Canis lupus familiaris: one gene and its partners. The main gene of each other region encodes a partner of the protein of the gene in region 2 in a complex. Links are inferred from orthologs where the notes say so. Each region holds a gene or a part of one and is shown on either strand. Other genes may lie near its edges. The genes, in order: HDAC2, histone-binding protein RBBP7 and BPTF.

Region 1 (9,968 bases), on a different chromosome or scaffold from region 2:
CCAAAAGTATTGATTTCATTGAAATTCAATAGATGAAAATTTGTGGTTTTGGTGTTATGTCTGTTCATTTTGAATTAAATCTTAATGCATGAGTATTAATACATTGGTACATAAGATGTGACAGATAGGCTGGCACTTAACGACTTTTAATCATGAAGAAGGAGACAAAAATATTCTTACTATCTTAAAAAAAATGTCACAAGTATGTCTTATTAGAGCAAAACTTTATTTAGGACCTAAATTTTATTTAGCAAAAATTTATAGACTGTAATATGGATATGTAGAACATTTTAACTCCCGTAATGCCAACTGTAAAATATTTCTGGGATGCCAGTAAATATCAAGAAGCAATATTTGCGGGCAGCCCAGGTGGCTCAGCGGTTTAGCGCCTGCCTTCAACCCAGGGTGTGATCCTGGAGACCCCGGATCGCGACCCACGTCAGGCTTCCTGCGTGGAGCCTGCTTCTCCCTCTGCCTGTGTCTCTGCCTCTCTCTCTCTCTCTCTCATGAATAAATAAATAAAATCTTTTAAAAAAAAAGCAATATTTGCTGTAAAATGTTTAAATAACAATGAAACTCAGAATTTGCTTTAGGCGTCTGAATTTGTCCATAAATACAAAAAATTAATTTTCAAATTTAAGTAACTAAAACTACTGTTATAAGTATTTTATTAGGGCTAATCCTAAATAAATTTTGGCAAACTGAAAATCTGAAAAGCTTGCTTGCTTTTAATCTCTAATAAACGTGTATTAATGAAGTTACCACAGTTAACGTAACCCAGTATCTTGGCTTTCTAGTACAGTTTGAAAATTGAAAGATCTGAGATCATTTCAAGTTTTAAATCTTGATTAGGTGGTAAGTGCCTTGTGATGATGAACACACATAAATTTAGACTGTAAAGATTCTCTATTCAGTTGTCTTTTTTCTATTTTAGGTGATATTGGAAATTACTATTATGGACAGGGTCATCCCATGAAACCTCATAGAATCCGCATGACCCATAACTTGCTGCTAAATTATGGCTTATATAGAAAAATGGAAATATACGTAAGTATACCTTTTGGTAAATATTCAGTGTTGTTTTTTTTTTTTTTAATCTACTTTGAAATTATTAATCCCCTTAAATGGCGTTTAGCAGATGAAAACAAACTCTGGAAGAAAACAAACTCTTTTTGTTTTAATCTTCAGAGAAAACAGTGTGGGAATGGTTTTTAACCCTCTTACTCGACCATTTTTCAAAAGTTTCTCATATCCCACCTTTTCACATTTTGGCCAACAACTCAGTTTAGCAAACTAAATATCTTTGTTGCAATAGTGGTTTACTTGGCTGTGCTGCTGAAGAGTTGACTATTACAGAAGAATTATGTAGGAAATTCTACAAATACTTACTGACATATGGAGCAGTGTATTAGTGGATGTGTACAGTACAGCTAACATTTAGGATACACCTACCTTAAGTGCTTTTGCACTAATGTGGAAGTATATGTAAACAAATGCAAGACACAGTTCTTGCCTGTTTGGGGAGAAAAGAAAGACTTGAAACAGTTACTAGTATTGAGTATATATGAGTTACTTTTTTCAGATAACAAATATTTACAGGAAAGGAGGGGTTGGATTATATACTTTCTGGAAGCCTCCTGGGAAAAGTGTGTTAAAAATGAAATTGAGCTCTTGGGAATAAGGATAATTAGGATAGGCAAAGGAAAGGAAGAGATTGTGAACAAAGACTTAAAATTGAGCTTGAGTCTCAGTCTCACTTGATACAGAGCAGACGGTTTATGATGGAAAGTGAGAGTTCCTGAACAGATTCAACTTTATAAGCATTGACCCATTTCCACTGCAATAAAAGGAATGTATAATTGGGGTCAGACCTGTCTAATGGCTTTAAAGGAGTAGGAATTAGCTTTGGAATTGATTACTCATTTCTAAGAAATACACGTATAAATTTGGATTCACTTTGGAATTTATTTTCTGGCAGAGCTAGTTCTTCTGAGAGGATTGTTAGGGGAAATTGTGTACGTGGTGTTTGATGACTCTGATGTAACCAGTTGTGGCTCCACCATTCTGACATTTGTTTTTCTTCACAGAGGCCCCACAAAGCCACTGCTGAAGAAATGACAAAATACCACAGTGATGAGTACATCAAATTTCTACGTTCAATAAGACCAGATAACATGTCTGAGTATAGTAAGCAGATGCAGAGATGTACGTTTCTATGTTAAAAGTCTATGTTAATCTTACTAAGGATCAGTGAGTATTTTCTAGAAGCATATCATTAGAATATCCACATGTAGGTGTTCCGCCTGAGGAAGATACTTCCTTAGTTAATTACTGGTTTGAAAAGTCAATGTAAAAATTAAAAATACTAAAACTGCTTTAAAAAAAACAACAAAAAAAACCAGGCGCCTGGGTAGCTCAGTTGACTCACTGATGCTGAGCTCGAGGCTTGCGTCGGCCTCCGCACCCAGCACAGTCAGGTCCCTCTCTCCCCCTGCTTGTGGGTGCGCCCTCACGCGGACCTGAGCACTTTCTCTCCCAGAAAGAAGGAAAGAAAATCGTAAAACCCAAAACAAAATCTACCCGAAGCCTGAGCTCTTGGGAATAAGGATAATTAAGATATCCATCTGCCAGACGGCCCAAGAGCTGTCTGGATGTTCCTCTAGTCTTTGTTTTGGTCCCATGTTACCTTGGGGATGATGGGTATTGGTGGGGAGACCTTACTTCCCTGCCTTTTTAAAAAAAAAAAAGTCTACTTGGATTGGCCTTAGCTTGGTGTATGTACGGATCTCTTACCTCTCTTTGTGTGTTTTAGTTAATCTGGATTGTTAATACATAATCTGTTCCATTTGTTAGTGAAGCTTCTTCTACGTGATTTTGATTTTGATTTTCTTCTACGTGATACTCTCTTTTATAGATACGTGTTTTGTTATTAGCGGTTGCCTGGCTTGAAAGTGGAATGAGAAATGTCTTAAAATGATTGAAACAGTTTTTTTTTTTAAAGCATGATACTGAAGTTCATTCTCATCAGCAGTTCTGTTCTCTCATGAATAAATAAATAAAATCTTTTAAAAAAAAGCAATATTTGCTGTAAAATGTTTAAATAACAATGATTTTAAAATCACTTCAGTGATTTTTTTTGAGAAGAACAATTTCAGATACTAAATTAGGTGTAGTGGCTTGATAAGTTATACATTCATAGAACTTTGTACCCATTTCTACCTTAGATTATTTCATTTACTCAATAAAATGCTATAATGCATGTAGAACATATTTTTTATACCTTTTTTTTGGATACAGGTTCAGGCTTAGATTAAAAGTCCTGTGTAGATAGGGCAAATGAATTAACAGGATTGATTTAATACATAATACTGAATTATATTAAGATTATGATTATATTTAAATAGTAAGAAACTAAAAGCTGTTCATTATCATGCTAATAAACTAAAGGTATACAAAGCTATGTAAAATAATTACCCTTATTTTTGAAGAGGTTATAATTGGGGTGGGAAGAGGCTGCGAATGGGTCATGTACATAAATAATATGTCCCTTTAATCCTGTCAGTACTGAGGAACTAAATATATTGCAATGTGTCATGTACCCGTGTTGTTTCCTTGTGCTTTACCCCTTCCTTCTATGTCTTGGCTGCTCCGAACCTAGTTAATTCTTACCATCCTTTAAGATTGGGTAGGCAGCCAGCTGCTTTGTCTTTTTAGTACTCACTAAAATATATTTCAAAGTTATGGATGTTCTGTGCATTTAAGGAGTTTTAGAAAAAGTAAATCATAAAGGAATTAAAGTTTTTTAAGTTTTTTAGAACCTTGATTAATTTGTTGTATGTTTTAGGAGAAATGCCTAATATTTAAGTGCGTGTTTTAATTTAAATAATTCAAATACCTTTTATATTTTGGTGGCTATTGATCTTCTGATAATAGAGCTGAGATTTTCTACAAATTATCCTGGTAGGATTTGGTGGTGATGTTTTACATATAACCCTTGAAATTACCTTGGATAAAATGATTAATTATATTTTTAAATAGCAAACTTTAGATTTATACTGTGATGTGTGATCCGTGATTACATCATATAAAAATATTTGTAAGGAATAGTTTTTGTAAGAAAAAACTTCATTAATTCGTAGAATGGATTGTAACTGAAATCCGTCTTTCACAGTTAATGTTGGAGAAGACTGTCCAGTGTTTGATGGACTCTTTGAGTTTTGCCAGCTCTCAACGGGTGGCTCAGTTGGTAAGTGTCCTGATTCAGATCTAAAGATTGATTTAAACTTGGTATTAATCTTCCTGGTTTACCTGTTTAAAGCAAAGCGTTTTAGTGATGATGGATTTTGATACTAAAAAGTGATCTGTATGTTTTTAGTACAGTTGTCTTTAGAAATCCCCATCTTTGGGGCACCTGGCTGGCTCAGTGGTAGAGCTTATGCCTCAATTTGGGAGTCGTGAATTCAAGTCTCATGTTGGGCACAGAGCTCACTTTTTAAAAACGAAATAAAGTAATGATTTCTTTCTTTAAAAATAAACCCCATGTTTTATGATCGTAATGACTTGAACTTTTTTTAGGTTCCTTACTTTTGTATTTTCACTTAGAGATTTCTCTCCTCTACCTCTCTTCTGGCTACCACTTTCCATATATACTCTTATTTAATCAGATCACCGCTATAGGATAATACTTACCTAAGGAGAAACTGTTGTTAGTGTCCTAGACAATGATCCTTTTTGTAATTTTAAACTCTTACTTATACGTGGCATACTCTTTGCTATAGGGCTTTTGTCTTGTTATATTAATTTTTTTATTTTAAACACTTTTGAAGTCTACCCTGTATTTTTTTTAGCTGGTGCTGTGAAGTTAAACCGACAACAAACTGATATGGCTGTTAACTGGGCTGGAGGATTACATCATGCTAAGAAATCAGAAGCATCAGGATTCTGTTATGTTAATGATATTGTACTTGCCATCCTTGAATTACTAAAGTAAGTTAATTTATGTTGATATTTTCCTTATGGAAAAGTTTTAATTAAAATGATATAAATCTATGACTTAAAAAATATCAAGGAAATGGTGGGTGAAAAATAGTTCAGTGCTGAGTTTTCTATGGATTCGTTACAAACCAATGTAGAAATACAGAACATTTTCCCATTCCTTGAATTAATAAGCATGAGAAATGCACATACATGTCTATAAAACTCATATTAAATATACCCTTTTAAAAAAACCTAAGAGTCGTTCAGTGTTTTAGATTTGAGTTACAGTTTCACCTAATGAAAGATGACATGACTCTGGAAGTTTATGCTCTAACATTTTCTAAGTTTTAACTTTTGAAGGCAGAAATTTGAAACTTGTGTTAAAGGAAATTTGTTTATTGATGAATCTAGCTAATTGCCTAGCTTCCACATGGAATGGGGCTTTGTTCTTTACTAATGGGTATAATTATCTCTAAATTACTAAAGGAGTTAGATTTACAGTGATCCCCGACTGCAGTTTGAAGGAGAGATCTATAGAGGAACATTAGAATTTGGAAATTTACAAAGGTGTTTCTCTTTTTTTTTAACCATTATCAGTTGTAACATGTCTTAATAGATTCCACTTCAGATTGTAGTGAAGGAGTTTTTTGTCAGTATCAAAAAATATTCTTGCCTGTAGTTATTCCATGCATATTGTTTATTGAGGCTAATTTCTTTTTTTTTTTTTTGAGGCTAATTTCTTAGTGTAAAATTTGGTATTACCGCCTCAGATAAACAGCTAAAATGTTTCAGTTAACTCCTTGAGAGCCAAGGAAAACCACTTGAAATTATTTGCTTGTTTTTTTTTTTTTTAAGGTTTTATTTATTTATTCATGATAGACAGATTCACAGGCAGAGGGAGAAGCAGGCTCCATGCAGAGAGCCCGATGCGGGTCTTGATCCCCGGTCTCCAGGATCACGCCCTGTACCCAAGGCAGGCGCTAAACTGCTGAGCCACCCAGGGATCCCCTATTTGCTTGGTTTTTAATTCAACCAACTGTTGGTGTGGTTCCTGTGTCTCCGTCTCTGAGCAGTGGTTCTTGACTGCGTAGACCCTTAAACAAGCTTAACCTAATTTGTCTAGACATATTTCTTTTTTTTTTTTAAGATTTTATTTATTTATTCATGATAATCTCAGAGAGAGAGAGAGAGAGAGGGGCAGCGACACAGGCAGAGGGAAAAGCAGGCTCCATGCAGGGAGCCCGATGTGGGATTCGATCCCGGGTCTCCAGGATCGCGCCCTGAGCCAAAGGCAGGCGCCAAACCGCTGCGCCACCCAGGGATCCCTCTAGACATATTTCTTTAACTGACGTGATCTATCATGATTTAATTGGCTGTTGATAAGCCACTTATGAACCACTCAGAAATTTACTTGGCTAACACCTCTTATTTTTGTGAAGAAAATCTATAATGAGACATTCTGCTTTAAAAAGATTTTATTTATTCATGAGAGGGGCAGAGACATAGGGAGAGGGAGAAGCAGGCTCCCTGCGGGGACCCCAGTGTGGGACTCGATCCCGGGACCCCGGGGTGACACCGTGAGCCCAAGGCAGACACCCAACCACTGAGCCACTCAGGTGGCCCGTGCTTTTTTCTTTTTCTTTACTGAATGGTGCTTTCCTGTGAGTTGAGGATATTATCAGGGTCCTTAGTCTGATATCAGTTTGTTTATTTTCTTTTAGCATAGTGGTGGTATCCTTCTATAATAAACATGCAATGCTCTGCCATTTTATTCAATAACAAAATAATACTCCATTATTATGCCATAGAAGGATGAAATTCAGAATTCATTTCCTTTTGTTTTGATATGGGTATGTATTGGTAATGGGATGTCACGGTATGGTGATCTACATGGCCTTAAAATGTATTTGAGTTGTAACTGCACCGCTGCAGTGTTTAGTGCTCCAGGCAGCACCGTGAAGGGACGAGAGTACCAGATGGTTTCTGTCACAACTACTACTTGCAGTTGCAAGCACAAAAGAAGCCATAGATCATTTATAATCAAATAAGCATGGCTGTGTTTTAGTAACACGTTATTTATGGACATTGGAATTTGAATTTCCCTAAATTGTCACATACGAAATATTCTTCTAATTTTATTTTTCAGTGATTTAAAAATGTAAAAACTGTTTTAATCTCAAGGTTTACAAAAAGACTCCATTGGTCAGATTTGGGCTATGAACTGTAGATTGCCAACCACTGTTTTATAATACTGAAAATTTATTAGACGTTTTAAAGTAATCATCCATCCTGTAAGTGCAGTATAATCTTCAGTTGTTAATATTATAGGAACTGGTAGTATGTTTCTAGAACATATAGAACTGGACAGATTTCACAGAGAGTAAGTACATTTTTCTTACCTAGATTGGGGCTAAAGAGAGGATTTGAAGATCGGAGGCTCAGTCTTGTAACTTTAGATGTTTGAATGGTCTCTTAGGCTGGAAATTAAGAGAAAGGATTCAACATTCTGAAATGGAAGAGCTCGAAAATATTTCTGAACCCATTTCAGAAGAACCTGGTTCTCATTTAAAACCTTTTAAAAAAAACTTAACCGATGCTTTATTTTCAGGTATCATCAGAGAGTGTTATATATTGATATTGATATCCATCATGGTGATGGTGTTGAAGAAGCTTTTTACACAACAGATCGTGTAATGACTGTATCATTCCATAAATATGGGGAGTACTTTCCTGGAACAGGAGACTTGAGGGTAAGACTGAATTTCTATCTGAATAAATATGATATAAATATTAGAACTGAAGAAGATAATAATCCTATATCTAAACTAATACTGTTCTAGAGTCATTTAAAATTTATATGCAGAATTGAGTCATTTTATATGCTATATAACATTTGCTAGAATTCACTTTTGTTGACTATAGGCAAAAATTTAGTGAGAACTGAGAGGACTTTTGCTCAGCCATTTTCTTTGGTCGAATAATTATTTTTGAACATCCTTGAAGCACAGAAGCAGTTTTCTTGATGTTTATTTGGATCTTCAAAACCTACTTCACAGTAGCCAGCATTGCTGTTGATTGTAAAGATTGGTGGATGAAAATAGAACTAAGTCTATTTTATTTTAGGTTCTTGTATTTACCCCCCCCCCCTTTTATGATTAGTCTTGCTTTAATAGGTCTTACTTTAATCTTTCCCCCCCCCCCATTTAGTGCTCTTTTATTTTATGAGTATAAAACCACTGGTCACATCTTGTTTGTACAAAGTTCCTCCGGTAGTTTTGCTTCACTGGCTTTTCTTGACCCAACCTACCTGCATGTTGAAAATTTATTCAAAGATTTAAATGACTTTTTAAATTCATCCTGGATTGTATAGGAAATTTCTCTTATCGTGGCATTCAATATTAGTTCAGAGTTTTCTAATTAAGGTTATTTTTCAGATCTGTGGTATGTATTACAGCTTATTTTAGCAACTAATATTTTGAAGAGTAGCCTTATTTTTCAAATATGTGCTTTCTTTATTTGACCACAAGATGGTGCTCTTTCAGTAACAGTCATGATGGTGAAATCTTAAAATGAGTAGAAGGTCAGTCATTTAATTTTAATTTGTTGGAGTTTAAATTATGTGGCTTCTAAAATTGCAAATTTGTATATTCAGTTCCATGCCTGCTAGCTCCGTCAGTGCGTTTCTCCGCTTGGCCCTAACTTACATACCAGTGATTCTTAGAGTATGAGCCTTAGGCAAGCGGAATCGGCATCTCCTGGGGACATCCTGTCAGGCCTCGGGAACTGATTCTGCGCACTAAACTTTGAGAACCACTCACTACCCTAACCAGTAGAATTCCTTTGTCTGTAGCCGTTGCACCCGGTAGAAATTCAGCAAAAACCTTCGCAGTTTTAAGCTTAAACTAAGTCTTTTAAGTATAATCAAAAATGGCAAAACATGGCCTCTGTTTTAATTTCTGACAGTGTTCTTATTGTTTAAAGTTGTTGGAACATATTGGAGAGTGGGTATCTTTTAAAGATTATAGAATGACTTTCAATATTTCTTTTATTCACTAAAGATTTTGTACTTACTATGGGAAATGTCAGCATATTTTCTCTTTAGTTATTATAAAGGTGTCCCTAAAATTTTATAAGGAAATCAAAACTATTATGCATGGAGTTCTATTTGGAATTTCATAAAACTTGTGTGTATCTCTGGATGTTAATAAACATTCCCTTTTCTACCTTCCGGTTCATTCTAAATTAGAAAAGAAAGCTACTCTGAGCTTAGATCATTGTTAACATTGCTTGTATCGATTAGATTGGGAGTCTTTAAGTAGAAGAAAAAGATATGGTAAAGCAGCAGTTGAGGAATAAGAAATGGAAGGGAGAAAGCTTGGTGCAACAAGGGAGCAGCTGAGGCGCCAGGTTTTGGTTAGAGTGAGAAGTGCTGACCAACTTTCTGTATTCTGAAATCTTACTGTCAAAGTATGTCCCAGGAGTTTAGTTTTTTAAAGTGCAGAATTTTACGGATTCACGGTGCTTTAGTTTATCAACATCTAAATGGTTTGTATTTAGTTAAACATTTTAGGTTTCTTCAAGAAAAATTGTTGCGGGAGATATGTAATTCCACTTCCTTTTTCTTCATTGGAATTTGGATCATAACTCTAATGTTGAAGGATAAACTATGCTTTTTTTTTTTTTTTAAGATTTTATTTATTTATTCATGAGAGACACAGAGAGAGGCAGAGACCCAGGCAGAGGGAGAAGCAGGCTCCATGCAGGGAGCCCGACGTGGGACTCGATCCCAGGACCCCGAGGTCATGTCCTGAGCTGAAGGCAGAGGCTCAGCCGCTGAGCCACCCAGGCGTCCCTAAACTATGCTTTTTAAAAATGAATCAAACTCAATCATTATATGAGAGAGAAGGGGAGACTTGTAAAAAAGCATTAGTAATCCTAAAGATTCACATATATTGAGACTTAATTTAAGAATGTAAGAATCAGCCACCACC
Region 2 (10,068 bases):
TTTATTTATTTATTAATGAGAGAGAGAGAGAGAGAGAGAGAGAGAGAGAGAGAGGCGCAGAGACACAGGCAGAGGGAGAAGCAGGCTCCCTGCAGGGAGCCTGACACGGGACTTGATCCCGGGACTCCAGGATCACACCGAGCCAATAGCAGACACTAAACCCAGGGATCCCAACTTATTTTTAAATGGAAAAATAACAGAAAATTAGGCTCTAAGCAATGTAACTGAGGAGGACTTAGACAAAATGAAATCTTTGTAGCTCAAAATGAAAGGGAACTTAAACACATCTCATTAGAACCATTTGAAAATTTAAAAAAAAAAAAAAAAAACCACTTGAAAAGGGGGCAGCCCGGGTGGCTCAGGGGTTTAGCGCCACCTTCAGTCCAGGGCCTGATCCTGGAGACTAGGGGTCGAGTCCCACGTCAGGCTCCCTGCATGGAGCCTGCTTCTCCCTCTGCCTGTGTCTCTGCCTCTCTGTCTCATAAATAAATAGAATCTTAAAAAAAAAAAAAAAAGAAAAAGGAATGCTTGAGAGAAAGGAAGCACCACAAAGCAAGGTTAAGGCTAACATAAAAGGAAGAAGTATTTTATTAGGGGGTTAAACAGAAAAAAATAGGACCTTTCTAAGAAGCCCGGTCCCAACATGGATGGAGGATCTGAAAAATTCCTTGACTCTAAAATTCAATTCAGGTATCCCCCGTCACAATAATCATGTAAGGATTTTTTTTTCTTTTTTACTGGCAATCCTTTCAAGTCCATCATTAAAATACAAACTTATTTTCCTGAACCAACAATATTACAGTATTTTCCTCCAATGCTGAATGCACCTAAAGCTGCAGGAGCACTAATGTTAAAAGACCTTGTCCATTTTTCAGTGCCAGCATCCTTTGATCAATCACTTAAGACTCCACGGCTAAGAAAGTCACCTAACAATCACAGATTATCACAAGATTATTCTCAGTAGCATTGTCTTAGTGGAAAAAGACTGATGACAACCTTTAAATATCTATTAATAAAGAACTGGTGGGACACCTGGGTGGCTCAGCGGTTGAGTGTCCACCTTTGGCTCAGGGTGTGATCCTGGAGTCCCGGGATCGAGTCCCACATCGGGTTCCCTGCATGGAGTATGCTTGTCCCTCTGCCTAGGTCTCTGCCTCTCTCATGAATAAATAAAATCTTTTTAAAAAATCTCTAAAAAATTTTAAAAAGAACTGGTGATATACATAATAGTATATTCATAAAGGGAATTCTATGGAGCCCTTAAAGCAAAAGAGCATATCTAAGCATGCTGATAGGAAGTCTCCAACATAAACTACAAACTGTAAAGTCAAGTGAGTAACTTGCTATCATTAAAAAAAGATTTAGGGGAGGGGTGCCTAGGTGGCTCAGTCAGTTAAGTGTTTAATTCTTGGTTTCCGCTCAGGTCATGATCTCATGGTCCTGAGATCAAGCCCTGTGTCAAGCTCTGCACTCAGCAGGGAATCTGCTTAAGTTTCTCTCTCTCCCTTGCCCTCTGCCCCTCCCCCTGCTCATGCACAACCAGTTCACCCAAAGGGGGGGAGGGGGGAAGAGAGAGAGAGAGAGATGGAGGGTAGGTGTGTGTAATGTGTATATACACTTATTTCTGGCAGGATCAGTTAAAAAAGCCAGCCAAAAATGACTCAACTCTGGGTAATAAACCAGGAGAACAGGGAACATGGAAGGGAGACTTATTATTTTCTCTATGTACTTTGTACCATCTGAATTTGAAGGATTACAAAGGTTTCTAAGTACAGAATAAGTTAGTCTCAAGATGTTTAAGAAATTATTTAATAAAAAATATGGAATAATGGAATTACAGATTAGAAATACCTAAATAAAAAATTTTTAAGATTTTATTTATTCATGATAGAGAAAGAGAGAGAGAGAGAGAGAGAGGCAGAGACACAAGCAGAGGGAGAAACAGGCTCCATGCCAGGAGCCCGACGCGGGACTCGATCCCGGGACTCCAGGATCGCACCCTGGGCCAGAGGCAGGCATTAAACCGCCAAGCCACCCAGGGATTCCCCCCTAAATAAAAATTTTTACAAGGCAAATCCACCATGTGGACAATTACCTAATTTAGTTTAAGGACAACAGTTCAGAAAGTGCAAGTAATTATTGGGAGGTATGCTCTATGTAGTATGTAGGTAAAAGCCTCATGAGGTTGACTAGCATCACATTCCTCAAAGACCCTGGGAATAAGAGTAGCCAACATCTCCGGTGTTCCGTATAGTAACAAAACACAATCACAGTCCCTTCATACTCCAAGTAGAATCCTGCAAAAGTACCACACAGCCATCCTCAACATCCAAGAATGCAGGCTGGCTGGCATTTTCTTGCATTCCCAGAGCAACTGCACATCCCACAACCAGATCCCACTTCTTTGTATGCAAAGAACACCACGGAATACATCATTTAAAGTATTTTTTGTTAAGTTCTTAAGTGTTAACATAAAAGCAGTATTGGCGGGGGGCTGGCGGGCTCAGTAGGTGGAACATGTGACTCTTGATCTCAGGGCTGTAAATCTGAGCTCCACGTTGGGTGTAGAGATTACTTAAAAATAAAAATCTTTTCAAAAGCAGTATCCGGGCTAAGAACATACACATTTAACATCCTTAAAATTGTTACACAAAACACAGATAACATTTTCAGAAGACTTGAATAAGCAGTTTTCACTGGAATCCAAATGGAGAAACACAGTTACTACAGTCTAATTATTTCTGAATACAAAGGGGGAGAAAATCAGCATCAGTCACCACTTATTGCGGACTTCTTCTGTGCCAGCACTTTAAAAGTGCATGATCTTATTTCATTTCCTCAAAAGTAGGCAGTCAGAAGCACCAGCACCTCCACTTACAGATCAGACAGCTTGGGAATAGAGACTGACCAATGTGCCCTAATTTAGCTATTAAGAAGCAGGCGGCAGGATTCAAACTCAGGTTTCTAACCTTAGAGTCCTAAACACCTCCGCTGTGTTCTGCTGGTAAGGTAGATCAAAAAGATCCAAAATAATGTAAATTAAGCTGTTAAAGGTTTTAATTTACTTAACAGGAGTGCACAAAGAATCAAAAGTACATGGTGCTCAAAGGAGAACCTGAATACCCTTAAGTATTTGATGTTCAAAATTGTTATGTCAGTGTTTTGAAGTCTGTTTTTTATTTCTTGGCTATTCTTATCACATCTGTGTATTTACACTGATTTTGGGGAATCCTAATAAAAGCCTCTACCTATATGGAAGACAATGTCTGCATATGGAGAATTCGGCCATTAAAGGAGTAACCTCATAGAAAATTAACTTGCTCTTATTTTCAGAAATTGTCTCAAAATCCCCTTCCTACGTTAGTTTTGTTAATCCTCATTAAAAATATATGTTCACAATACCCAAATTAAATACTTTTAAAGTACACAGCCAAGTTCCTACTAGAAAAAGTGCAAGCGCTTAAGAAAGTCTAATAATACAGGAGTTGCCTCAACTCTGGGGTACCCGGTTTGGGTTCAAAATCCCACTCCACCACTTGCTGGATGATCCTGGGTATTTTAACACCCCCACCCCAGTTTCCACAACAGTAAGACAAAGATGATAAAGAATAATCATAGTATACTTTTTCATAGTATAATTCTGAATATTAAACAACTGGACACAAAACTGTTGAGATGTGCCAGGCCCTATTTTAAGTGTTCAATAATACCAGCAATTATTACCAGAGAAATTTTAGAAACGGCTGAAAAGAACCAACAGCAACCTCCAAGTGTATTCCACACTATCAGCTAGTAACGTCTTTTCTTCAGTGAACTACTGCTAAATTCTTTTTTCCCTTTGTCAATTAAAACCTATTCATATAGGGATCCCTGGGTGGCGCAGTGGTTTGGCGCCTGCCTTTGGCCCGGGGCGCGATCCTGGAGACCCGGGATCGAATCCCATATCGGGCTCCTGGTGCATGGAGCCTGCTTCTCCCTCTGCCTGTGTCTCTGCCTCTCTCTCTCTCTCTGTGTGACTATCATAAATAAATTAAAAAAAAAAAAAAAAAAAAAAAAAAAAAACCTATTCATATAGTGGTGGCTGGTTACATGGATGTGCTCCCTTCGTAAAAATCCATCCAGCCATATGCTTATGATTTGTGCATTTTTCTGTACGTGTGCTCTTTTTCAATAAAGTTTTAAAGAAATCCATTAGTCTGGGTCCCCAAAATGCTGCTCTATATTTAATCCCAAGAACTGTTAAATTCGTTAGATGCTCCCCACAAATATCATTAATCGCACTTTGTCCCCACGCTTACATATCAAAAACCATCCCATAAATCACTTGTTTTGAAAATAAAAATCACCTGCCACCTCATGCAAGGGCTAAATTGATTACACGCTCATGTTCTATGTGTAAAATGCCAAAACTAGGAATTTCGGGATAATAGTCAAATTTATGCAAAGTAAAAGTTGCCAGAAACCCTTACTTAGTCACTTCAGGAAGCCACTGAACGGTAAGACTCGGCCACTGAAGAGCATGGGTCATAACCAGGTCATACAGAAACGGTGTATTCTTCTTCCAGATTTTATATTCTTCATTGATGACACGCTCCTCCACAGTATCTTCAAACACTGAAATTTGGAGAAATCCCACACAATTAAGTGGCTGAGAGAAATCGAGTTAGAATCTGTACACAGATAGTGGAGGTCACCTCGAGATGGCCACACCTAATCTACTCCTCAGCTTTACGTTTAATTTGGACACGAACTAACTGCTCTTCCAGAACGTGAGGAGAATATTAACACCAGGAAGCTTATTTTTTGCACTTAGAAATCGATACTGCTTGCGTATACAGAATTGGGCAATTACACAGACGACGATTTTGTTTCAGCAGTTACAGCTGTTCGCACCTGTTCTAAGATGACGACCCATCTGTGCAGGGGCTCCACGACCCACCCCGGGAGACGAATCCACGTGTAGCAGAAACCCCTCGGCCCGCTCCCTCCATCCCCCACCAGGAGCGGCCTCCGCTCCCACGAAGCCCGCGTCAGCAGCCATAGGCCGGCGTGTGCCAGAATCCCCCGGACAAGGGCCGCGACCCCGAAGCGGTCGACGCGCGCGCGTGGAAGGAGCAGCCGTGTCCGCTTTCCGGTGGCGGAGGCCGCCTCCGCCCGAGAGCCAAGGGCGCCGGAGGGAGCGCCGCCGCCAGAGGGGGGGGAGGGGAGCGGGGGGGGGCAGAGGGGGAAGGGGGCCCAACCCGCGGCCCCGCGCCCGGCTCCGGAAGTGCTCGGAGCCCTCCGCGCCGCGGTCCCGTCCCGCTGTAGGCCCCTCGAGGCGCGCGCCTAGCCTCGCGCCCGGCCCCGCCCCCTGCTCCTCACGCCAATTCGCGCCTTTCGCCGGCGCGTGCCGCGGCCTCGCGCGCCCGCCGCCCCCCGCGGTCCCGGCGCGCGCCGCCCCGCAGGGCCTCTTACTCTCTTTACTCGCCATCTTGCGTCGGGTCGTTCGCCCCTCGCCGCCGCCTCGGACTCCCCTCGCTAGCCAACAGCAGCCCAACCGCAGGCGTTCCTGCCTCGCCCAGGCGCGTCACACACTTCTAGCTCTCGAAGCGTGAGCTCCGTCTTACGGCCTGGGTGCTCCCCAAACGCTGCGTCCTTCTCTCCTGCCTCCTCCCCGCTCGCGGGTACCGAGGTCTGAGGCGCTCTTCTCTCTCTCTCCAAACTTGGAACGAGACTTTTCAACCCGCGCCTCCCAGCCCGCCCAGGCAGCTGAGCGCAGGCGCATCCGCCCTGGGAAAAGTGAGAGGCGGTGGAGAGGCGGGCCTGGGAGCCAACGGCTCGGTTGTTTCAACCAATGAGGTGCGGCACGCAGGTTTCACGCGGCATTTGTGGGCGGGCTTCTGGGGGTGGGCGGGGCGTTCCGCGGCAGGAAGTTGGCGAGGCGCAGGCGCGAGGGCTCGCCCAGCGCTCCCAGGGCCGGGCGCGGGGGCGGATGGGGGCGCGCGGGGGTGGGGCGGATGGGGGCGCGGCGTGCGGGCTGCGCGGGGGCTGTGAGCCCCGGGGCCGCGGGGCGTGGCTGCTTGCAGCGGCCGTGGCGGTGGGGTGGGAGGGGGGCAGGGAGGTTGACGCGGCTTAGCCAAGCAAAATCTCAGAGCGAGAGGAAAATGGTTTCTAGTCTCGAGAGATTACTGTGCCCTCAACGTCTCCCGGATAATCACGGGCATGCAATTCTGTGTACCCTGAAAGGCTTCCCTCTAGTCGACTGGCTTTTCCCGGGGTCCGGTCGAGCTGAGGTGGGGTTCGTTGCAGGCTGAGGAAACCTTTTACAGAGGCCGCGGGCGTTTTTTGACTGCTAAAGCCGAGGGGCCTCCCTGTTAGGCTAAACTTGCGGCCTGTTACTGGCACAAGGCCTCCGACGGCCCGAAGCTGACTTGAATTACACTGTTTGTTTGCACATTTGGGTCCTTAAAATGATTTGCGGCCTCTCGAACTGCAGAGAATTTTGTCCCTACGTTCTTGTCTCCGTGCTGGCCCCTGCTGAGTCATTCTCGTCACCCGTGGGGGTCCCAGGGCGACCCCACTCCGCGATGGCTTAGCTGGGGACAGCTGCCCTATGCGGACCCGGGATGGCTTGCTTGAGCCCTGCTTGCCTTGAAACTTGGTAGCCCCTGAGGAGTGCGTGGGGGTGAGGAGAAAGTGAGCTGCAAGGCCAGGAGGGCTGTGAGGGCCAGAGGGTACCGGGTGGGAGGACGTGGCCGAGATGCCTACGCACAAAGAGAACCTCAGTGTACATCCAGATTAGGAGAGAGGCTCCCTCTGCAAAAGCACCCGAGAACATTTGGTACCTTGATATTTTCCAAGTGCTTTCACAAGAGTGACCATGGTGATCCTCAAACGAAATTGTTCAGTTGCCGCTGTGATGCCCACTTTTCCGATCAGAAAACAAACTCAGCCCTTACTCTACTTGGTGGCAAAACCAGTAATATTACCTTATATAGAAATTTACTGTCTGATGTGTCTGCTTTACAGTAGGTTACAGTTCATTATTGTAACGCTCTGCCTTCATGTTAGGCCCAGGAATCTTGTTAGGGACTAAAGCTGTGGCGGGGCAGGGCAGTGGGGGTCTCGGCTGCAGAGGAAGGAGGGTTGGAAGGGTGTTTAAATAGCACAGCTCTCATATTCTAGAACACTGGGTGGCAAACGTTTTTCTGATGGGGGCCAGAGAGTAAATATTTTAGGTGATGGGAACAACTACTCAGCTTTGCCACCTTACAGTGAGAAAGCAACCTCAGACAATATGGATGAGCCTGGCTGTACTACAATAAAACTTTATAATAGACACTGAAATTTCATATAAATAATTTTCACTGAATTTTCATATAAATTTCACGTGCCACAAAATAATCTGATTTGTTTTTCAACTACTTTAAAATAGAAAAAACATTTTTATCTCGTGGGTCATACAAAAACTGGTGGTGATTATATACCCAGAGGACTCTAGTTTGACCACCTTGTTCTAGAATAATTGCCTTAATGGCTTTGCTTCAGCGGGAACATCCTCATGTGCATGGCAAGAGAAGGCTTGGCAGACAGGTTTGAGGCTCCCTTTAATTCATTTTATTTATATTTGATGGGTATGCATGATTTCCAAAACCTATTACATGTGTAAAGGGTTGAAAGAAATCTTCCCAGACATTATGGCTTTATAATCTTTATATTGTCCACCTCACTGAGGGTCAGAGGTGGAAGTGTGAAGCAGATGTTTTGGGAGTTTCTGAAAATATGCAGGCACTGTCATATACTTCATCCAAAAGTATCATTACAACATATTTTATTAGCTTTTAGGTAGAATCTGCCGATCCTTTTCTCTAATTTTTTTGGTCTTTTTTTTTTTTTTTTTTTCTAATCAGGTACTTTTTTGCCTCCAGAAGGTAATACATTTTCCTTCAAATTGCTAAACTTTTCGATTTTACTTTTGTTGTTCACCCCAACGATTTAGCTCTGGTCCCAATCTTTTCTCCCACTTTCTCTGTGTTTTTGTCTCTCTTGCACTCGGGTAGGTCTGCTAAATGAGTAAGACACCAGCAGGTGCATGCATAAAGAGTCCTGTTTAGGTACCTTTCTCTAAGACTGTTTACATCAAAGTTACTATATTATTACCCACCACTTTGTCGATGGGACTGTGTTTTACAGGCTAGTATACTTGTATTATAAACCGAAAGAGGGACGCCTGGGTGGCTTAGTGGTGAGCATCTGCCTTTGGCTCAGGGTGTGATCCCAGGGTCCTGGGATGGAGTCCGCATCAGGCTGCCTGTGGGGAGCCTGCGTCTCTCTCTGCCTGTGTCTCTGCCTCTCTCTTTCTGTGTCTCATGAATAAATAAGTAAAATCTTTAAAAAATAAAAAAAAATTAAAAAAAAACTGAAACAAGTTACACTGAACTCTGCTGACCTTTAATATGTGTGACACAGTCTGGTATTTTATTTCATTTAAAAAATATGCAGATTACCCTGTACATTGCATTTTTGCAATCACACTTAGTTACAGCTTAAAGTTTGGAAAACACAGACAGCTAGGTTATTTTTGAAGCAGCTGGCCAGTCCCTGACTATCTTTTACAGAATAGCAACATAACGGGGCGCCTGTGTGGCTCAATCAGGTAAGTGCCTGGTTTCAGCTCCAGCACAATCTTGAGTCCTGGGATCAAGCCCCTGACTTCAGCTCCAGCCACGATCTGGGATCCTGGGTTGGAGCCTCACCACTGAGGGAGGAGACTGCTTATCCTTCTGTCCTTCCTGGTGCTCATGCTCCCTCACCCATCTCTCTCTCAAGTGAATACATAAAATCTTTTAAAAAGTAGCAACATGCCCTCATCTCTCCTCCCCCACAGCTAATTGCATTCTATCCCCTTTACTCCCATTTTCTTTTTTCTCATAGTGCTTTTCACCACCTGACAAATGCTTGTTCATAAGCTTTTCTCCCTACACTAAAATGGAAGTTACAGGATTTTTGTTCTGTTATATCCCCAGTTCCTGGACCAGTGCTTACCACATGAGGAAGCTCAGGCAAAGAATGGTGGTTTCTTGCCAAGGTCACATAGCTAGTGAGTGTTAGACTTGGAATTTGAATTCGATCAGTCTTATATTAAGACAGCAAAAGTGACCTGTGTGATAGATTGAACTGTTTACCAAAAGAAATGAGAGAGGGAAATAATACACAGACATTCTGTATTTGCAAGCAGCCCTTACTCGTTTTTGGTGAAAATCTTAGATGTTCAAAAAAATTTTAGAGTACCTACTCTGTGCCATGCATTGTTCCGGGAACTCAAGATACCTGGAATGAACAAGACATATAGGGCCCCAACTCTGTACATTCCTTTATTGTCTGTACATACATTCCTTCCATTTTATACGTTCTTTTATTTTTTATTTTCTTATTAAAAGCAGAGCTCATCGCAGAAAAATCTGAAAATTACAGGAAACAGAAAGGAGCATAAAGAATACCAATTTTGTTTCTGACCAAATTATTTTCATCCAAATTGTTAGGAGTGGAGGAAGCTACAGAAAACATTAATAGCTGTTGTCTCTTGGTTACTGGTATTAAGAATGATGGTCATCTTTTTATTCATACATTGCTCTATTTTAAAAAATACTCCGGTGGACAGACATTACTCTTCTAAGCAGAAAAAACCCCCACATACTTTAGAAAAAAGTATAAAGTATGGTAGAAGAGTAATGCACCCAAATGAATTGTCTTGGTGTGATAGAATTCTTTTTTTTTTAAAGATTTTATTTATTTATTCATGAGAGACAGAGGCAGAGACACAGGCAGAGGGAGAAGCAGGCTCCCTGCAGGGAGCCTGATGTGGGACCAGATCCTGGGAGTCCGGGATCACAACCTGAGCCAAAGGCAGACCTCAACCACTGAGCCACCCAGGTGCCCAGGTGCGATAGAATTCTAAGTCATTTCTCTTAAAATATTGTTTAATGCACTTGTGAAAGACGGAGTTGTAGGAAAATTATTGTAAAGTAGAAAATACTGTACTTGTTTGAACTTGTACTTTGTTTTCATTTACTATTGTGATATTAGGTA
Region 3 (9,968 bases), on a different chromosome or scaffold from region 2:
ATTTGCTAACGTATGGTGTGATGTGTTCTTTCCTATGAAGTCTACGCTATAGTGAGTACTGTGTACATACCTAGCTAACTAATTTGGCTTCTTCGTGAATGGTTCTGCTGAATCCTGGACTGGTTGAGATATTTGAAATTATTGATGTGATAAAGTTATCATTTTGGATTACCTTTTTAATGGAAAAATACTTATTATTTCATAACTGTCACTGGAATTTATAGGGACTAGGAATGTCTTGCACATAATAGATGCTCAGTGAATTGTTCTATTTGCCAACTAGAACTATTCAATATTAAATTTTATTATTGTGATCTGATTATATTCAAGCCAAATGTCCACTATAATAAATTCTAAAAGATTAACATTTTTTATTGCCATTTTGTTGCTCCAGCTACCCACATAGCACATAGAATTATAGAGAGCTTTTGTTTAATTATATCTGACTTATTTTGTCTTGTGTAATAAAATCCAGATTATCAATAAGCAAAATATTTAGGTTTTTGCAGATTTATCTCATATCCACTTTCCTTAGCATACTGTTTCTATTGTCCAAATTCTGGGCCTTTATCCAGTCAGGTACCAAGTTGGTCTTACAACATCTTTTGAGCCCTTTTCCTCTCCAGTGGTAGCAATGCATGTGTTAGTATAGAATAAGAATTACAGTGAAGGCATTAGTATTCGTAACCACCAGTTTATAATCTCAGAACTATTGGTCCCTATAATAATGATTAACCTAATCTGATCATATGACAGAGGCACAGATGTGCTGGAGAAAACAGAAATGCGTTTCAGGGAACCTTGACTTAGCATCAGAAGACTAGAGTGTTCAGCTTGTTTGACTGCGTCACTTATTTCTAACCTCCATTCTAACTCAGACTGAATGCCTTAGCTTATTAGTTTACAAGTGTCAATAAAGGTACTGATGTGCAAGATTAACAAAGGATATTAATTGTCTTTATGTCTAGAAGATCTTTAATGGAGAAGACATCCCAAGTATTTTATAATTGTCTATTTTAAGCATCTGGGTTCTTAAAACTTTTAGGTGGAACTACTATTATATAAAGCTCTTTTTGAGAAACTTGAAATCATTGAAAAAATATTGCCCAGTTGTTCTGAAATAACTAAAGAAGCATTGAATAAGGAGAGTATCAGTTTACTTTTTGTCCTTTTGTTACTTGTGGGGTCCAGACACATCCTATCACTGTTTTCTATGATTCGTTTCTTCTCTCCCCAGTATCCTACTGTCTTGACAGATACCAAGTTTTTTGCACTCTTTTCCCTTCCCTCAGCTAGATCTTTCTGGAAGGAGTCATTTGTTTAAATAAGAAGTAGGTACACATTGCTAAGTCCTTGGAATATTTGGGATCAAGTGAAGAGAATAATAAAAGGTAGAAAATGCCTGTAAGGCCCAAGAAAATTCACCTGGACAATAGTTCTGTATCATGGGCTTGATTTTTTTTTTTTTTTACCTTACGGAAAATTTGAAACTACACGAAAGTAAAAAAGCATCATCTTTCTGTCATTCTCCTATTAGTTGTAATAATCTACTTTTTTTCTGGAGTTTTTTTCCCCCCCTATGTATTTAGAGCAAATTCCAGAAATTATGTTATCTACCAGTTCAGCATATATCTCTGATTGGAGTGGTTATTCCATAAATTATGCCATTACCATTCAACGCACTAACAATATTTAACATGTCCATCTTGAGATTCTCAGTTACTATTCTAGTTACCCCAGTTGTGCCAGAGATGCCCTTTTAATGTTGGTAGTAAATCAGGTCCAGACAAGGCCAAACATTGCATTTGGTTATTTCTCTGAAGTCTCTTTTAATCTATGATAAATACAGTGATTCCCTACCCAGAAAAAAAAAAGTATACAAACAAACCTTTGTAATTAATTTCACTGGCTCTTAGATAGCCTTGAAGTCTATCCATGGACTCTGGGTGAAAAATACTTAAGTATTTATTTTCCTAATATGGTTCTTTAATATAAAGTATGTTAGAAACACTGATGTAGACTTTGTGGAGTCATTGAGCAGCTGAAATAGTGTCATATATGAAAGATCCTGAAGTACATCTAAAATGTGCTCATTCCTCTTATGCTTTAGGTCAGTTGAGCATGTTAGGAAAGTATATACTATCTTCAGGTTTTATATTTTTTTAATAGAAAACAGTATAGATTGCTAGAAATATAATTTCCACTGAACTAGATTTGTTAAAGCAGATTGCTAATGTTCAGAATACCTATAATTATATATATATACACACACTCAATTCTTTTTAGCCAAAAATAATGTGGATGAAAATATGGATGAATCAGATAGACGAAAAAGTCCACGGAGTCCAAAAAAAATAAAAACAGAGCCTGATTCTGAGAAAGGCGAGGTAAAAGATTCAGATGCTGCAAAAGGGGCAGACCAAAGTGAAATGGACGTTTCCAAGATTACTGAGAAGAAGGACCAAGGTAAGGAGAGTCCGGTGTGGAGGGCAGCCTGGGGGTGATAAGATTGTAATGGATCTGGTTCGCACAGCAGGAGAGGTACTGCCTTATGTTTCTTTAATAGCAGCTTTATTGAATCACAGCTCATTTACTATATAACTAACCCATTTAGAATGTACAGTGGTTTTTAGTATTTCACAGAGCTGTTCAGCTGTCACCACAGTCCATTTTAGAACATTTTCACCACCCCAAAAATAAACTTCATACTCCTTAGTACCCAGTTTCTAATCCTCCCTAAATCCCCCCAGCCTACTAGTCTACTTACTGTCTCTATGGATTGGCCCTATTTTGGATATTCTGTATGAATGGAATCACGTAATACATGGTCTTTTGTGACTTGGTGTAATGTTTTCAGGATTCACCCATGTTATAGCATATGTCAGCATTTTATCATTCCTTTTTAGTTCTGAATAATAGTCCATTGTATGGACGTGCCACATTTTGTTTATCCATTCATCAATTGATGGACTTTTGGGTTGTTTCTACTTTTTGGCTATTATGAATACTGATAAGGACATCCTTGTACAAGTTCTTATGTAGACATATGTTTTCATCCCTCTTGGGTAAAGACCTAGTAGTGGAATCCCAGGTCATGAGCTAATAACTCTGTGTCCAGCCTTCTGAGGAACTTATACTGTCTTTTGTGAAAAGTCATTCTTTAAAAACTAGGTAAGCTAGATAATGTATAAGCCTTAAGATATTTTATGACTATGAAATATCTTACATAAAATTTTCCATGAAGGTACTGGAGTATGGGGTAACTGTCACATGCTAAGTAATTTTTCTTTTAACATTCCAACTTCAGATACTAAGAATCAGAGTATTTAAATATTTACAAAATGTCTGTTTTTTAACCTTTTATAAAGTTTAGCCCTGTCCATTGACCTATCTTAATCATGTATCAGGAGCTTTCAAATATGTATATTTACACTGAAGCCCCGTGAGTGAAATGAAAATAAACATTGGTGGTTTTTAAAATAAAAATATTGTGAATTCCACATTTGAGACTAAAAGTTAGCACTTACATAAATGTGTTTGTTTCACAGATGTACAAGAAATTTTAGATTCTGACAATGAGAAACCCTTTAAGGAAGAACCAATGGAGATAGATGATGATGTGAAAACAGAGCCGCATATAAACTGTCAGGAAGGTTCTCAAGTAGATGTGGTCAATGTCAGTGAGGGCTTCCATCTAAGGACTAGTTATAAAAAGAAAATTAAATCATCCAAACTAGATGGACTTCTTGAAAGGAGAGTTAAACAGTTTACACTGGAAGAAAAACAGCGCCTTGAGAAAATGAAGTTGGAGGGTGGAATTAAGGGTATAGGGAAGACGTGTACAAGTTCTTTGAAAAGCCTTTCTGAATCATCAGTAATAACAAAAGCAAAAGAAGGGTGTCAAAGTGACTCGCTTAGACAAGAACAAAGCCCTAACACAAGTAATGGTAAAACTGAAGATGTGATTCGAGGATGTTCACAAAGCGATTCCTCAATTCTTAGAATCAATGATCCTGATCATACAACAAACAGACTTTATCCAAAAGAGCAAATGTTAGATGACATCTCCATTCAGAGCCCAGAGACAAACTGTCAGAAACAGAATTCTGTTGGAAATGACATAAATGAGAGTCTCTCTCAACCTACCAGTCAAGGCCAGGAACTTAATAAGGTTAAAACAAGAGGAAGTGACTTTCTCATTGATGACTCCAAACTAGCCAGTGCAGATGGAATTGGTACTTTGATCTATAAGAACAAAAAAACACTCATACAGGAGGATAATGACACCATTGTTTCTCCTTCCCAGAGCCCTTCACTTCCATCAGTACCTAAAAGTACTGATGATAGAGATCCCCCATCTCTGTCAAAAGCAGTAGACTTTGAAGGAAAACTAGGATGTATCTCTGAATATAACAGCACTTTGGAAAATAGTTCTGATACTATGTCTATTCAGGACAGCAGTGAAGAAGATATGATTGTTCAGAATAGCAATGAAAGTCTTTCTGAGCAATTTGTAACTCAAGAACAAGGTATTGAAGGCTTGGAACCATTGAAACGTGAGTTTGTTCCAGATAAGTCCACTAGCAACTATAAGAGACCACAGGGTAAGGTAACTGAAGCAAATGGTAGGAAGCCAAGTCAAGAACAGAAATTAGAGGAGAGATCAGTTAATAAATGTATTGATCAAATCAATCTAAAAAGTAGCACTGACAGAAAGAATAATGAAAATAGAGAGTCTGAAAAGAAAGGACAGAAAGCAAGTACTTATCAAATAAATGGAAAAGATAATAAACCCAAAACATATTTAAAAGGGGAATCCTTGAAAGAAATCTCTGCGAGTAAAGTAGCAAGTGGTGATCTTGAATCAAAGCTTAATAATATAAATAAAATAATTCCTGAAAATGATATTAAGTCATTGACTGTTAAAGAATCTGCTGTAAAGCCATTCATGAATGGCGATGTCATCATGGAAGATTTTAATGAAAAAAACAACTTGGAAACAAAATCACGTTTACTGAGATCTTCAGATGCTGCATGCGACTACCAAGATGGCCTAGACACCCTGCCATCAACCAAAGAGTCTGAGACCATGCCTCCACTGTCTTGTCCAGAAAACAGTTCAACAAATCAGGTAGAAGATATGGAAATTGAAACCTCAGAAGTTAAGAAAGTTACTCCCTCACCTATTACTTCTGGAGAGGAATCTAACCTCAGTAATGATTTCGTTGATGAAAATGGTCTGCCCACCAACAGAGATGAAAATATCAACGGAGAGTCTAAGAGAAAAACAGTTATCACAGAAGTCACCACCATGACATCCACGGTGGCCACAGAATCAAAAACTGTAATCAAAGTAGCAAAAGGGGATAAGCAGACTGTGGTCTCTTCCACAGAAAATTGTGCCAAGTCCACTGTCACAACCACCACTACAACAGTCACAAAGCTATCCACACCCTCCACAGGCAGCAGTGTGGACATCATCTCTGTGAAGGAGCAGAGCAAAACTGTGGTCACCACAACAGTGACAGATTCGCTGACCACTGCAGGGGGCACTCTAGTGACATCTATGACCGTGAGCAAAGAGTATTCCACAAGAGATAAAGTGAAACTCATGAAATTTTCAAGACCCAAGAAGACTCGTTCAGGTACAGCTCTGCCATCGTATAGAAAGTTTGTCACCAAGAGCAGCAAGAAGAGCATATTTGTTTTACCTAATGATGACTTAAAAAAGTTGGCCAGGAAAGGAGGAATCCGAGAAGTCCCTTATTTTAATTACAATGCAAAACCTGCCTTGGACATATGGCCTTATCCTTCTCCTAGACCAACCTTTGGTATCACTTGGAGGTATGTACTTTAAAATGTATTTGGGGAAGGGAGAAAGTCTTAAAAGCATTTTTGAGTAAGCATATCTCATTTTTTACAGAAAAAAAATGAGATAATAAGAGGGAAGCAGAAATTTAATAAGCCAGGTTAGTAATGGAAATAAGATAACAGAGAATCTTGAATTTGGCTGGCTGGGAGGTACTCAAGTTTACTTAGGGTAAAACTTTAGGGGAAAATGTTAAGAGACTTGAAAAGATCTAAATCTTTAAAATGAAATTGAGTTTTACTTTCCTCAAGACAGAAGAAACATGTCAAATATAGTTGGTTTTGTGGTTTAACTTTCTGAGTTATTGCCATGTGTTTGCCTTGGGAATGAGAATAAGAGACTTGGATAGTCCACTTTCTGGAATGTTTGTATTTTATTTCTATTAGGTAATTCATAGAAACATAAGACATAGGAAACATGCCTGTGAATCACACCGAGTTCATCATAATGTGGAAATCTTCCTAAAATAATTTATTTGCATGATAAACATTTGTTTTGGAGTTCTCTGTTATTTATGTGAGGAGAGGTCTCTGAGATTCCTTAGGGATTTTTTAAAACCCAGAAATAGTCTTAATTTAAAATTTTCTGGGCATTAAGCTTTGGGGATGAGTCATAAGTACATAGTGTTGGCAGTTGTAAGATCATGTAGTTTCATTTTGGGAAAGGATCTTAGAAATTCTTATCTTTTATAGATGTGTAATAAGTTACCTCTGGCCACAGACGGACAGAGTTAGGAATAGTGCCCAGTTTTCCTAAATCCCCAGTCCAGTACTGTATTCTGCTATATCACATTTCACATATCTGTCCTTGCTTTGTCCTTTTTCATGTCCTGTCTTTTTATCTTTTCACCCTCACAACTCGAAAGGATGGAGGAACATAAACACTGAAAACATAAGAGTTCTGTGGGGCATGCTTGTGAGTCAGGAACAGTCTTGATGGCTGCTAGATTTTGATAGGAAGCTGCAGTTACTTCAAGTGACTGAACAGATTCCATTTCACTTTAAGCTTCGTTTCTGTGTGTCTTTACTATGGTTCCAGTTTTTTTTTTTTTTTTTTAAGTTAAAACCATGCCTTTTTTTTATTTCTTTTATATTATAATTAGCCAGTATTATAAAACAAAACCAAAACAAAGTGTAAATGAGTACTCTCTCTAAAGGAGTTAACTTATTAATATGACCAGTCACAATTGGTTTGACCAAGGTTTTTATAACTCATCTTTTGATTTGAATTAAAATATCACTCCATTACACATTCAATAGAGACAGCTGAAAAGTACAATTTCTCTGCAGGGCCTGCAATGAAGGATTTGCAGAATCCTGCAGGGAATCAAGGAACTCTTCATTACAGTTCATGGATTTATAGGATTACTCTGCACTTTTCTGCTTTCTTCATTGAGAGCGGTCCCAAAGTGTATCCTTGACTGTCCTGCAGGTAACTTCTTTCCCACTGGAAAAGTTACTATGTACAAATACTTTAACTAAAATGACCTGGCAGTGGTGGAGGCCAACCTTTCTGCGCTTTCCTTTTCTGAAGTGGAAGGTAGGCTCAACTGGGAAGCACTTTTCTCTGAACCAGTTCCGATCAAGTGTTGCCCAGGGCCCTTTTCTGCACGGCTGGGTTTCAGGAGCCTTGAATTGTTATGTTTTAATATGCACTGTGGGCACAGTTGGTATCTGTTTAGTTAATTTCTCATTTTTTAATGGAAGGAGATACCTTCCTGTACATTTTAAACAGATATTGCTGTCAAATACGTGCTAACGTCTTAATCTGCTGAAGTTGAGGGAAACATAATCCCTTGTATCTAACAGGGGCATGGGTAAATAATGTAAAGTATTCTTGATTTAGAATGCATTTTTTAAAAGTGTATTGCTATAAAAACCATGCATGTGAAATGCATTTTTATATTCACACTTGAAAATAAAAAAATCTGTCTGATGCTTAGAGTAGAAGCTAAGAATGCCAGGAGGTGCATGTTTGATATTTATTAATTTAATGTTAAGGCTGAGCAGTAGTGAAAAGTGAAACTTGTCTTGTCAATCCATTAGGCCTCTCTTTTCCTCCACACTGTCCATTCCCTTACTTCCTTTTTCCTGGGCCCTGATTCTGTGTTTCATTATCACTTTGAACCAGTAGTTGTCTCACAGTGCTGGCCACATAATCCTCCTAAAAGCCAAATCTATCCTGTGAATGTTCTGACGGAGCAGAGCAAGCCTTCAAAGTGTGAACTACAACTGCAGGCCTGGGAGGAGGAGAGCGTCTGTCACCTGTGCACCATGTCTCTGAGAAGTATTTCCCTTTACAACTCATCCTATTCTGGATAAGTCTCAGAGGCCTTAATGCAGATTGCCTTTAACGCTCTTCTTTTATCCTTCCATTTGGTGCTGCACACTCTGCCTCTGCCCTCCTCTCTCATGGCAGCTTCGTCTCTTGCTGCGCTTCCACATCCCTGCCCTGCAGTCAGAGCATACCAGATGTGGTTTCTGGGAAGAGGTGTGTACTGTTGTACACTTTCCTTCTGAACATGTGTGTGCCCCTGGCTATTCCCACAATCTTTGTCCTCTGAGACTCTAGCAAAGCTCTGATCCCCATCCCAGAGCCAAGTCATGTGCTCCTCATGCTTCTCTGACAGCTCCTGAGGATATAAGAGCAGATTATAATTCATTTCCCTGCCTCCAGCTCCTTTCAGTTAGTCTGACACATATAGAAGGCACTCAAGTATTTTTTGAATGAATACATGAACAAATAGGCTTTTGGTGTATTCCCCACTTGGTGGTGTTTCCATTGCAAAACAAAGATGCATTGAAGTTGCTGTTCAGCTGTAGTGAGTGATCTGAGGAAGGGAGAGAATGAGAAACATTTCTCTTCCAAAATACATATCCATTTGGCATTCAGAGTTCCCTAGGCATTTCTATGGGGTGTGGTCTGAACATGACACATACTTTCCCCCTTCCTGGGACATCCCTGCACTAGATAACATTGACCCTCCCATTTAAGAACTGTACTCCAGGTCAGAGGATTCACAGGGCGACAGCACGACAAAGGAAATCTTGGTGTCACAGGTGGAGATGGGGATTTGAAAAGCAGCTGCAATTTTCTGGCTGGAGCATTCCCTTTCTCACATTGTTCATTTTCCCAGCTTAATGTTCAGAATAGAAAGCATTGCCTCTCAAATACAAATTGTCTTAAGGTTTACCTTCTACCTCTGTTAGGGGAGGAAATTATTTTAGTTTTATAGATTTTCTGTATATGTAAACAAGTGTGTTTATTTAAGTACGTGGAAATGTCAACAGTGTTTAATTATACAAAGATGACACTAATAGAGAATTGATACCCTAGGGTTTCTTTACATTGTTTTATAGTTCTGTCTTGGGACATAATATTCATTAAGTTGTAAATTTGAGATGTATCTTTAATATTATTTTTAAAAGAATATCTAAAATGTTCAATAATTTTACACCTAATGCTTAGGAAAAAACTGAACAAAGAGATTCCTTTGTCTCCTGATCAGTAACTGATAGAGTATTGTCCTTTTTGTTACTCATTGTATTGTAAAATTCTAAAACTATATTAATGTGGTTAAAAGTGTTCATTAATAATAGCAGGTATTCATCATCCAATAGTTCATGTTTTACAGAGCCACCATTTGGATGCAAAATTTCTGTCCATTTGGAAAGGTCTTGTTGGATTTGCAGGGGGGTCTTTTTTTGTTTTGCATTTTGAGAAAATTTAAACAATTTGTTTGTTTCAGCTAAGTCAGTCAGTTAAGATTTTATCCTTTTTCTCAAAATTCTTTTATCATCTTTAGTAACACAATTATATCTCTATTATCTTTCATAATTTCTCTAACATATATTTTGGAATTAGGCTAAATATATAAAATTAACATTAATTCTTGCCACGTCAGTATTAAAATGAAACATGCTCATTTTATAAATTTATGTGGCATTTGAAGTGACTACAAACCCTTTTTTAAGTTGTTAAATGCATGTTATGCCTAGGGGAAAAAGTTAAGTTATTAAGGGATGTATAATAGTCAAAGTGCTTACAGAATCGTATTATGATTATTAAAATAATAATGGAAGCAAGAAATAGGTCTTCA

The links.
Region 1: histone-binding protein RBBP7 (region 2) and HDAC2 share a complex: the UniProt entries of both Homo sapiens proteins name them as parts of the core histone deacetylase (HDAC) complex. The link is inferred for Canis lupus familiaris from reciprocal best matches to the Homo sapiens genes RBBP7 and HDAC2.
Region 3: histone-binding protein RBBP7 (region 2) and BPTF share a complex: the UniProt entries of both Homo sapiens proteins name them as parts of the BPFT-SMARCA1 complex. The link is inferred for Canis lupus familiaris from reciprocal best matches to the Homo sapiens genes RBBP7 and BPTF.

The regions. Positions count from the first base shown.
Region 1 is NC_049233.1:70,464,546-70,474,513, reverse strand, and holds part of HDAC2 (histone deacetylase 2), read left to right. Parts: intron 1-934; coding exon 935-1,047; intron 1,048-2,087; coding exon 2,088-2,205; intron 2,206-4,171; coding exon 4,172-4,246; intron 4,247-4,847; coding exon 4,848-4,986; intron 4,987-7,585; coding exon 7,586-7,727; intron 7,728-9,968. UniProt on the Homo sapiens protein: Histone deacetylase that catalyzes the deacetylation of lysine residues on the N-terminal part of the core histones (H2A, H2B, H3 and H4).
Region 2 is NC_049260.1:13,086,155-13,096,222, forward strand, and holds the start of histone-binding protein RBBP7, read right to left. Parts: upstream 5,057-10,068; 5' UTR 5,042-5,056; coding exon 4,894-5,041; intron 4,615-4,893; coding exon 4,470-4,614; intron 4,464-4,469; exon of another isoform or gene 4,064-4,463; intron 3,853-4,063; exon of another isoform or gene 2,433-3,852; intron 1-2,432. UniProt on the Homo sapiens protein: Core histone-binding subunit that may target chromatin remodeling factors, histone acetyltransferases and histone deacetylases to their histone substrates in a manner that is regulated by nucleosomal DNA.
Region 3 is NC_049230.1:14,277,110-14,287,077, forward strand, and holds part of BPTF (nucleosome-remodeling factor subunit BPTF), read left to right. Parts: intron 1-2,286; coding exon 2,287-2,466; intron 2,467-3,548; coding exon 3,549-5,844; intron 5,845-9,968. UniProt on the Homo sapiens protein: Regulatory subunit of the ATP-dependent NURF-1 and NURF-5 ISWI chromatin remodeling complexes, which form ordered nucleosome arrays on chromatin and facilitate access to DNA during DNA-templated processes such as DNA replication, transcription, and repair.